Linked DNA regions of Caenorhabditis elegans. Changing the gene in region 1 together with any one later gene gives a genetic interaction. Each region holds a gene or a part of one and is shown on either strand. Other genes may lie near its edges.

Evidence for each region. A genetic interaction does not mean that the proteins touch.
Region 2: of mut-7 (region 1) and hmp-2, a change in one rescues a mutant of the other (synthetic rescue), as found in Caenorhabditis elegans (one study listed by BioGRID).

Annotation. Positions count from the first base shown.
Region 1 is NC_003281.10:9,540,631-9,544,385, forward strand, and holds the start of mut-7 (Exonuclease mut-7), read right to left. Parts: upstream 1,751-3,755; 5' UTR 1,726-1,750; coding exon 1,536-1,725; intron 1,465-1,535; coding exon 648-1,464; intron 601-647; coding exon 463-600; intron 415-462; coding exon 220-414; intron 172-219; coding exon 1-171. Other genes in the region: eif-2Balpha (Translation initiation factor eIF2B subunit alpha), read left to right, coding at 2,512-2,626, 2,679-2,944, 3,008-3,189, 3,249-3,450, 3,499-3,651. UniProt on the Caenorhabditis elegans protein: Represses the transposition of Tc1, Tc3, Tc4, and Tc5, perhaps by degrading transposon-specific messages.
Region 2 is NC_003279.8:14,737,028-14,740,782, reverse strand, and holds the start of hmp-2 (Armadillo/beta-catenin-like repeat protein), read right to left. Parts: upstream 1,902-3,755; coding exon 1,846-1,901; intron 1,215-1,845; coding exon 1,153-1,214; intron 1,096-1,152; coding exon 433-1,095; intron 326-432; coding exon 161-325; intron 1-160. Other genes in the region: K05C4.7 (Armadillo repeat-containing protein 1), read right to left, coding at 2,161-2,937, 2,988-3,080. UniProt on the Caenorhabditis elegans protein: Required for cell migration during body enclosure and cell shape changes during body elongation. Plays a role in recruitment of the cadherin protein hmr-1 to adherens junctions.

The DNA of each region.
Region 1 (3,755 bases):
AGATCGTTCCTCATATCAAATCCTACGACTTTTACAGGAGAATCTCCGAACAATCGAGATGCGAACTTTTGCCACCAGTCATCTGCCATATTTGCCTTTTCTAATTCTACGCAATCCACAAGCCATACACAATTTTTGAAGAACAATTGTATGATAGCAATTTTCGAGTCACTGAAAATCGGTGCATATGGAATTTTAAGAATGAAATTGTTCACTTACTGAACAGCTGTAAGATTCGACGGTTTCCACTCAGAATCGAATCCAACGTAAACAGGTGCTGGCTCGTCGCTTAGTGATTTGATCTCGGAACATAAGTAATTCATCTCAGATTCAGTTTTCACCATGTGGATTTGAGTTCTTCGCTCATTCTCAAATACGAATAATTGTTCGCCATTTAGAGGAACTTGCAGTGTTCTGAACAAAAATGGTTTTAAAAAAGTCGAAGAAATCGAAAACAATTACTTTCTTCTCACTAGAAGTTCTTTTGCTTCTCTGAGCTTCGAATCAGGTTGTCGAAAGAAGTCCCTCATAACATTCGGCAGTTGATAGCTGCTGGAACTAGCGATTCCTAAGTAGATAGCAAAGCAGATGGCATCTATTCTGAAAATTGAATTTTAGAAAGAAAAATCTTTTTGAATGTCACTTACTGTTTCTCGGTGTCATTTGAGCTCCACAAGTAAAACAAAATAGGTTCACGAACATCTTCGGCTTTGGTAAAAGTTTCAACCATATGCTGGAAATAGTTGTCATCGGATTTTCCCTTCTCGTATCGTTCACTGATATTAAACTTCAATGCCTTCAGATTCCCATTCTGTGAGTGGTTTTTGGCGAACTTCGACAATTCCCTGGAGAAGTTGTATTCGTGAGTATTTTTGTTGATAATCGTCGAAATGAGTTTGTCCAACGTTTTTCCCGTCAATTTCTCCATAGGAATCGTCATAATTTTGGTTTCCTTGTAGGGTTTCAGCATCTCTTCAACGGCAACCACTGAGATTCCAACCATTCGATCAAAAAACTCTACAAGCTGCTGTTGCATCCTCTCATTGTTACTTATCAATTTATAAGCCGTTTGATCTTTGCCAGATAGCATTAATGGAAGAACAAGATGTTCGAAATGATGATCCCGTAGAAGATTGTACTGAATAGCCATATCTGCAGCAACGGAGAAGTCTTGTTTCTTGATGGCAGCATCTAGCAACTGTGTAATGTCCTCAGTGAATTTCTCTTTGGTGATATCGAAGATTTCACTGAGAAGCTGCTTTTGTCCAATTGTGCACACATCTAAGGCGTTTATTTGAATAGTTCCAGTCAGATATTTCTGTCTGAGCTCCGTCTCCTGTCCCGACTCTTTTAACCAAACTCCAAAATCCTCCAGATACCAAACCGCCAAACTTTGTCCCGATGTTTTTCCTCTATCCGGCATCGCTTTCATCATATCCACAGCCATTCCGTAGATGTTGACTCCTTTAAATGTATAGATTATGAATGAGGGTTTTTTAAAGTTTTTAATAATAAAAGAACTTTAAAATGTTTACCTGATCTATAGTCCTCGTTGAAAAATTCTCGATTTTTGGCTCGAACTTTTCTCTCCCGCTCAGACTCGGGTCCATTCATAATTGCTTTCAGAACTTCCCGGCGTGACTTCAACGGTTCGGCGTAGTCTGTTCGATATTTTGCCTTTTTCTCGGCTTTCGTTAGCTTTCTTTTGTACGGTTCTTCTTCCATTTTCGAAACGGACAAGCTTGATTCTGTAAAAAGTATAAATAAATATTTGTCGAAAAGTTAGTACAAAAGAAATTAATCAAAGAACAAGGAAAACGTGTTTCCCCACGAGAATTCGTATTACGGAGAGGAAAATCTAGAAACGGCCCAAAAACCGAAAGAACAACAGAAAAGCGTTGTGGATTATTCGATATCCAGCACTTTTTGCACAAATTGAGGCAAAAATAATGGAAAAAGAACCAAGAAATCAATGAACAAAATGGAAAATGAATTTTTAAAAAATTGTCGATGGTATTTAAGATGTGCAGGTTAGCGAATAGTACTGTATCACGGCGGCGATTCAAATGATCTACGAAGCAATTACACGAGGAAAATTAATGGAGATTATGGAGCAAATTGAGGGAATTAATTATAGTATAAAAGTTTCGAAAAGGAAAATTATTATTTATTATCCTATTTAGTTCGCCACACAATGGGAGATTTTAGATGCGTAAATAGTTGAGAGTAGAAAGTAAACTGACTGACTCAAAAAATATGTTTAAAATGTTTATTCGAGATTGAGAAAATAAATTAAATTTCACGAAACCTTTTAAATACATAAGTAAAAAAATGTTTTGTTTTTAAATTTGCCACTATCAAAACTGTCTAACTCTCTAACTCTTATCTTCTCTGCGTAACGATAGAGCGCGTTTACATCATTATTTTTTCATTAAATTTTTTCTATAAATATTTCTTCTTTCTACGACAAACGTTCTCCATTATTGTTTTTGCAGACTTTTTCCATCTAACATGGTTCAAGAAAGCATTATTTCATCTTTCCGTGGAAAACTTGAAAACGATCCAAGCAAATCAACGAGTCTAGCCACAGTGGAAACACTGCTCGAGGTTTTAGACCGGAGTCGCGGTAAGTTCCTGAATTTGAATATTTAGGCAATTAATTTTTTGCTTAATTACAGCCACCACCGTTGCCGAATTTCAAAATGAGCTAAATCAAGTAGTTGCTGCTCTCGAGAAAACGGACTACAGCTCAACATCAATTCGAAGTGCCGCTGATTTGTTCACCAGATTCACTTCTCTGGCTCCAGCTGCTCTTCTCGATCAAGAAGATTTTTCTCAAGTTCTTGATCTGTATCGCCAACGAGCACGCTCATTTATAAAGAATGTCAGAGGTTCTCGAGCCAAAATTTCCAAGTGCGCTCGTCTATTTTTCACTCATCATATGGTACGTTTTTTTTTCTATTTAAATAATTCCTATTTAATGTATTTTAATCTTTGTATTTTCTAGAATATTCTGACACACTCATACAGCAAAGTGGTTCTGGAAACTATTCTTGATGCTCACAAAAGTGGATATCACCTTCATGTCTGGGTCACCGAATCGCAACCGGATGCTTCAGGAAAACTAGTGTTTGAAGAATTGAAAAAGAATGGAGTTCCAACTACTTTAGTTCTAGATAGCTGTGTGGGGTGAGTGGAAATTATAAAAAACAATAAGAAAAACGTATATACATTTTTTATTTTTTAAGATATGTCATGGAAAGAATTCAAGCAGTTCTAGTTGGCGCTGAAGGAGTCATGGAAACCGGTGGAATCATCAATAAAATTGGAACTGTTAATGTTTGTATCATCGCAAAATCACGGCATGTTCCCGTCTATGTTTGCGCTGAAACTATCAAGTTTGTACGGGAGTTCCCACTCAACCAGGCCGATATTCCCCAAGAATTCAAAGTAATCAATTTATATCAAATAACTCAATCAGATCTTTCATTATTTCAGTATCGAACATCAGTAATTGAGAGAAACAACCTAGAATTGGAGCATCCCGATGTGGATTACACCGCACCCGAATTTCTGACACTGATCATTACTGATGTCGGCGCAATGAAGCCTGAAGCTGTTGGAGAAGAACTCATTAAAATGTATATCTGAGGGTAGAAATTTATTTGAACGTGTATTTAATTCAATCAAATTAAATTAATTTGTTCTTGTTTTGTTTTTTATAATTATGATTGGTTTTTTTCTTTTACAAAAAT
Region 2 (3,755 bases), on another chromosome or scaffold:
GGAAAATGTTTAAAAATTGCTTCAAAACACTCGAAATAGCTGCGAATTTCAAGTATTTTCAGCTAAAAATCTCAAATTTCCAGCTTTTCAGTGGATAAAAACCTGAAAATATCTCTAAAAATGCGATATAAAATAGTTTTTAATCAAAACATCCATGTACCAAGACTGATCAACGCCGGTTTGTTGCTCGGACAAACGGACAGGGATCGAATGCAACGGACGACGGTATAGATGAGCTTCCGATGATCCGAGTACTCGCGAAGAATCGAAACCAAGATCTGTGGTCCCAACAGTGATAGGAATGTGATCTTCGATGGAGCATCGTCTGCAAAATTGACCGATTTTTGAAATTTTAGAGTGGAAAATTTGAATTTATAGCTTTAAAAAATGCAAATTTGTACAAAATTCTTGATTTTTCCAGTGAATCCTTACCGATCAACAGGAAATACAACCCATCCGCCACTTGAGCCAGCAGCTTCGGATTCGTCTTATGAAGGTGCGGAGTTAGCGCCTCAACGGCGTTGAGAGCTCTCGCTTGAGCTCTGGAATCAGAAACATGCATCAGAAGGTTCCGAAGTGTTGTCACAGCATAGTGAACAACTGATTCCAGTGAATCATAGAGCATTCGAATGATTTCAGCAAGCCCTCCGCTTCTGAAGATCAGAAGAGGTCCTCCACGTTGCTCAGACATGTGAGACAATGCTCCAATCGCATTCCGACGGACATTCACGTTGGAACTCTTCGACGCAGCCATCAGAGCTTCCACAAAAGATCGATGATCGAATCCCGGCGCATTGAAGAAGTTCGGATCTTCCCTTGAGAGCATATAAGCTCGATGAACAGCTCTAGCAACCACTGACTCATCATGATCGCACATAAGCTTCACTAGATCCGGAAGCGAGAGTCCTGACATATCGTTTGATCCTTCGTAGGTTAGAAGATCCATAACTGATTGCTTCAGCTGTTGAGTTGGCATTTGCATCATTTCGACGATGCTTGTAGTTGAATTTGTGGCTTCTGCAGCAGAAGTTGGTGGAATCCAGTCGGGGAACATCGCTGAGCGGATTCTAGAGGTTCGAGTTTCGACTTCATGGTCTGGAAATTAATTTAAATGAAGAAATTTCGAAAAAATTGTATTTTTTTGTGTTTTACCAGTGAATATCGAATAAGAGTTGGTAGAGTGAAGAAGCATGGTTGTTGGGAGTTCACAGCTACTGAAAATTATACTTTTTAAAGGAAATGGTGAGTTTTAGACGAGAAAATGCAAAGAAATTCGATATTTTAGGTGCTGAAACTATCAAATTTCATGTGGGAGCAGAGAAAAGTCATTTTAAACAGGAAAAATCCACAAAAACTAAGATTTTTTTAAAATTAAATTTAAATTTAATAAATTTATTTCGAGTGGAAAAGTGCGAAAAATCGAAATTTAGAGTAGAAAATTTAAAAAAAAATAGGATTTCTAGTTGAAAATTGAGGAATAATCGCATTTTTCGAATCAGATACTAGCTAAAAAGGAATTTTTACTTTTATGGCTATTTTGAAAAACATTCCACTATTTTGATACTGCAATCGTCAAAATACGAGGTTTCAGGTAGAAAATCGAGAAAAATCGCATTTTTTGAATCGGAAACTAGCTGAAAACGCAAAATAAAGATTATCACTTGGAATTTGTGCTTCTGTGGCGATTTTAAAGGAAAATTATTCTATTTTTGGTGTTGCAACTGTCAAAATACGTGGTTTCAGGTAGAAAATTTAGAAAAATGGGTTTTTTCGAATCGGAAACTAGATGAAAACGCAAAAACAAGATTTTCACTAGGACTTTGGATTTTTAAGGATATTTTATACCGATAAATTCCTCTATTTTTGGTACCGCAACCGTCCAAATATGAGAATAATCGCATTTTTCGAATCTGAAACTGCCGAATAGATAATTAGAGCTGGTTAAAACAGCTTAAAAACACATAAAAATCAAGAATACGAGGATTTAAAAACCAGTGTGAAACGATTTATATGCCTGTGCGGTGATAATACCAGAAAGAGATCTCAAAAAAAACGAGAAACAGGAGAAAAAAGAAAATATTGAGATAACAAAGAAGAAACCGTAGTACTTTAATACATTTTTTTTCGAGATTTTCCGAGATAATCCGAGAATTCCTTCCATCACCAGAGGGAAGTTTTGACGAATGAAGTGATCGAACTGAACCATCCGCCCTCTTGACCACTTCCATGGGCAGCCATCTCATTAGTTATCACACAACTTGCCGGATCCACGTGAAGCACATCATCATCCAAATATTCGGGGTAATCTTTCGAGTTTTCCGTGATTTTGCCCATCTCTGACGCGTAAAACTCGAATTTCTCGTCGATTCCGTTCACTTTCACTAACTGCGCGACGTACTCGAATCCGGCGGCGGCGAAAACGGACTGCGCAATGTCCTTGGCTTCGATTGTCGGGATTGTGCGGAGCACGGCGCGTGGAATTGAGTTCTGCTCGGTTATATATACACTGATTACTCCTTTTTTCTTCAGAAGGCCTCTCTCAACTGACAGCTTCTTCGTTTCATCGAATTCCTCCGCATCGAATTCCATAATAATCTGCTTTGACTTTCTTCCAACGAATTTTCGGTGAAGAGTTCCGCCCTTGTCGAGCTCTTTGATCGCATCGGCTAGAGGCTCTTTCTCGGCTCTTTTGGCATCCAGCGAATTCTTCACTACTCGAATCCTACTCGAGACAAGGACCAAGTTATAGTTGACACTGGGATTTGTGATATTTTCGCAGGCTTCCGACAATGCTGGAAGTAAATCTGCGGATTTCAGCAGTTGCTCGATGTTCCCCGACTGCTCTGTGAGCAAAACGAGGATTTTAACCGTGTATCTGATGACATCGGAGCTTTCGTCCTTGAGGAGCGTTGGGAGAGTGTGGAAAAATGTTTTGTCCTGGAAGAAATTTAATTTTCATGTGAATCCTGAGTGAGCTAACGACTTACCTTAAGCACGACTGCTCGATTCTCCGGCTTTTGGCACAGCTTGTAGTACGCGCGAATCGTTTTTATTTTGTCGGCATTTACGACTTCAGTCATTCTGAAATAAAAACCTTGATTTTTAACGAAAATTTCGATTTTGAACGACAAACTTTAACGCAAACAACCAGAATAGCGATGAAATACTCAATTCTAAATGTGAAAAACAAAAAGTGGATAAAAATCGATAAATTGAGGGGAAAAGAGAAAATGGAAACAAAAGAAAATGTGGGCGGAGTCACACGATGAGGCATACCGCAAGTGGTGCGCACACATTTTGCAAAGGGCTCGCACACAGTTTTCCTTCTCAATAATTATTACTCGCCATTTGGGACGCGAAGTCTATGCCAAAAAAAATTTAACGCATCATGCACATTTTGAGGGAAAAAAATAAATTACGAAAATAGTATTATGTAAAATATGAAAAAAAAAAAGAAAACAAATTCCACCCTAAAATTTTCGCCATTTTCAATTTTTTGAAGCTGCAGCCTGAAAACTAAAAGATACCGAGTGGGAAAGTGGAAACATTGCCGTTTTTGAATATGAAACAAACATTTCAGCGAAGATACATTACAAACCCTTTTAAAACAACATAGGAAAACCAATAATCACAGAAACATCAATCAAAAATGCGAAAAAAATATGAAAAATCGGTATTTGGCTGAAAAAAAAAATTTTCAATCGAAAACTTGCTAAGCCAATGAAACTGAATACAATGTTGGGATTAAATAATAT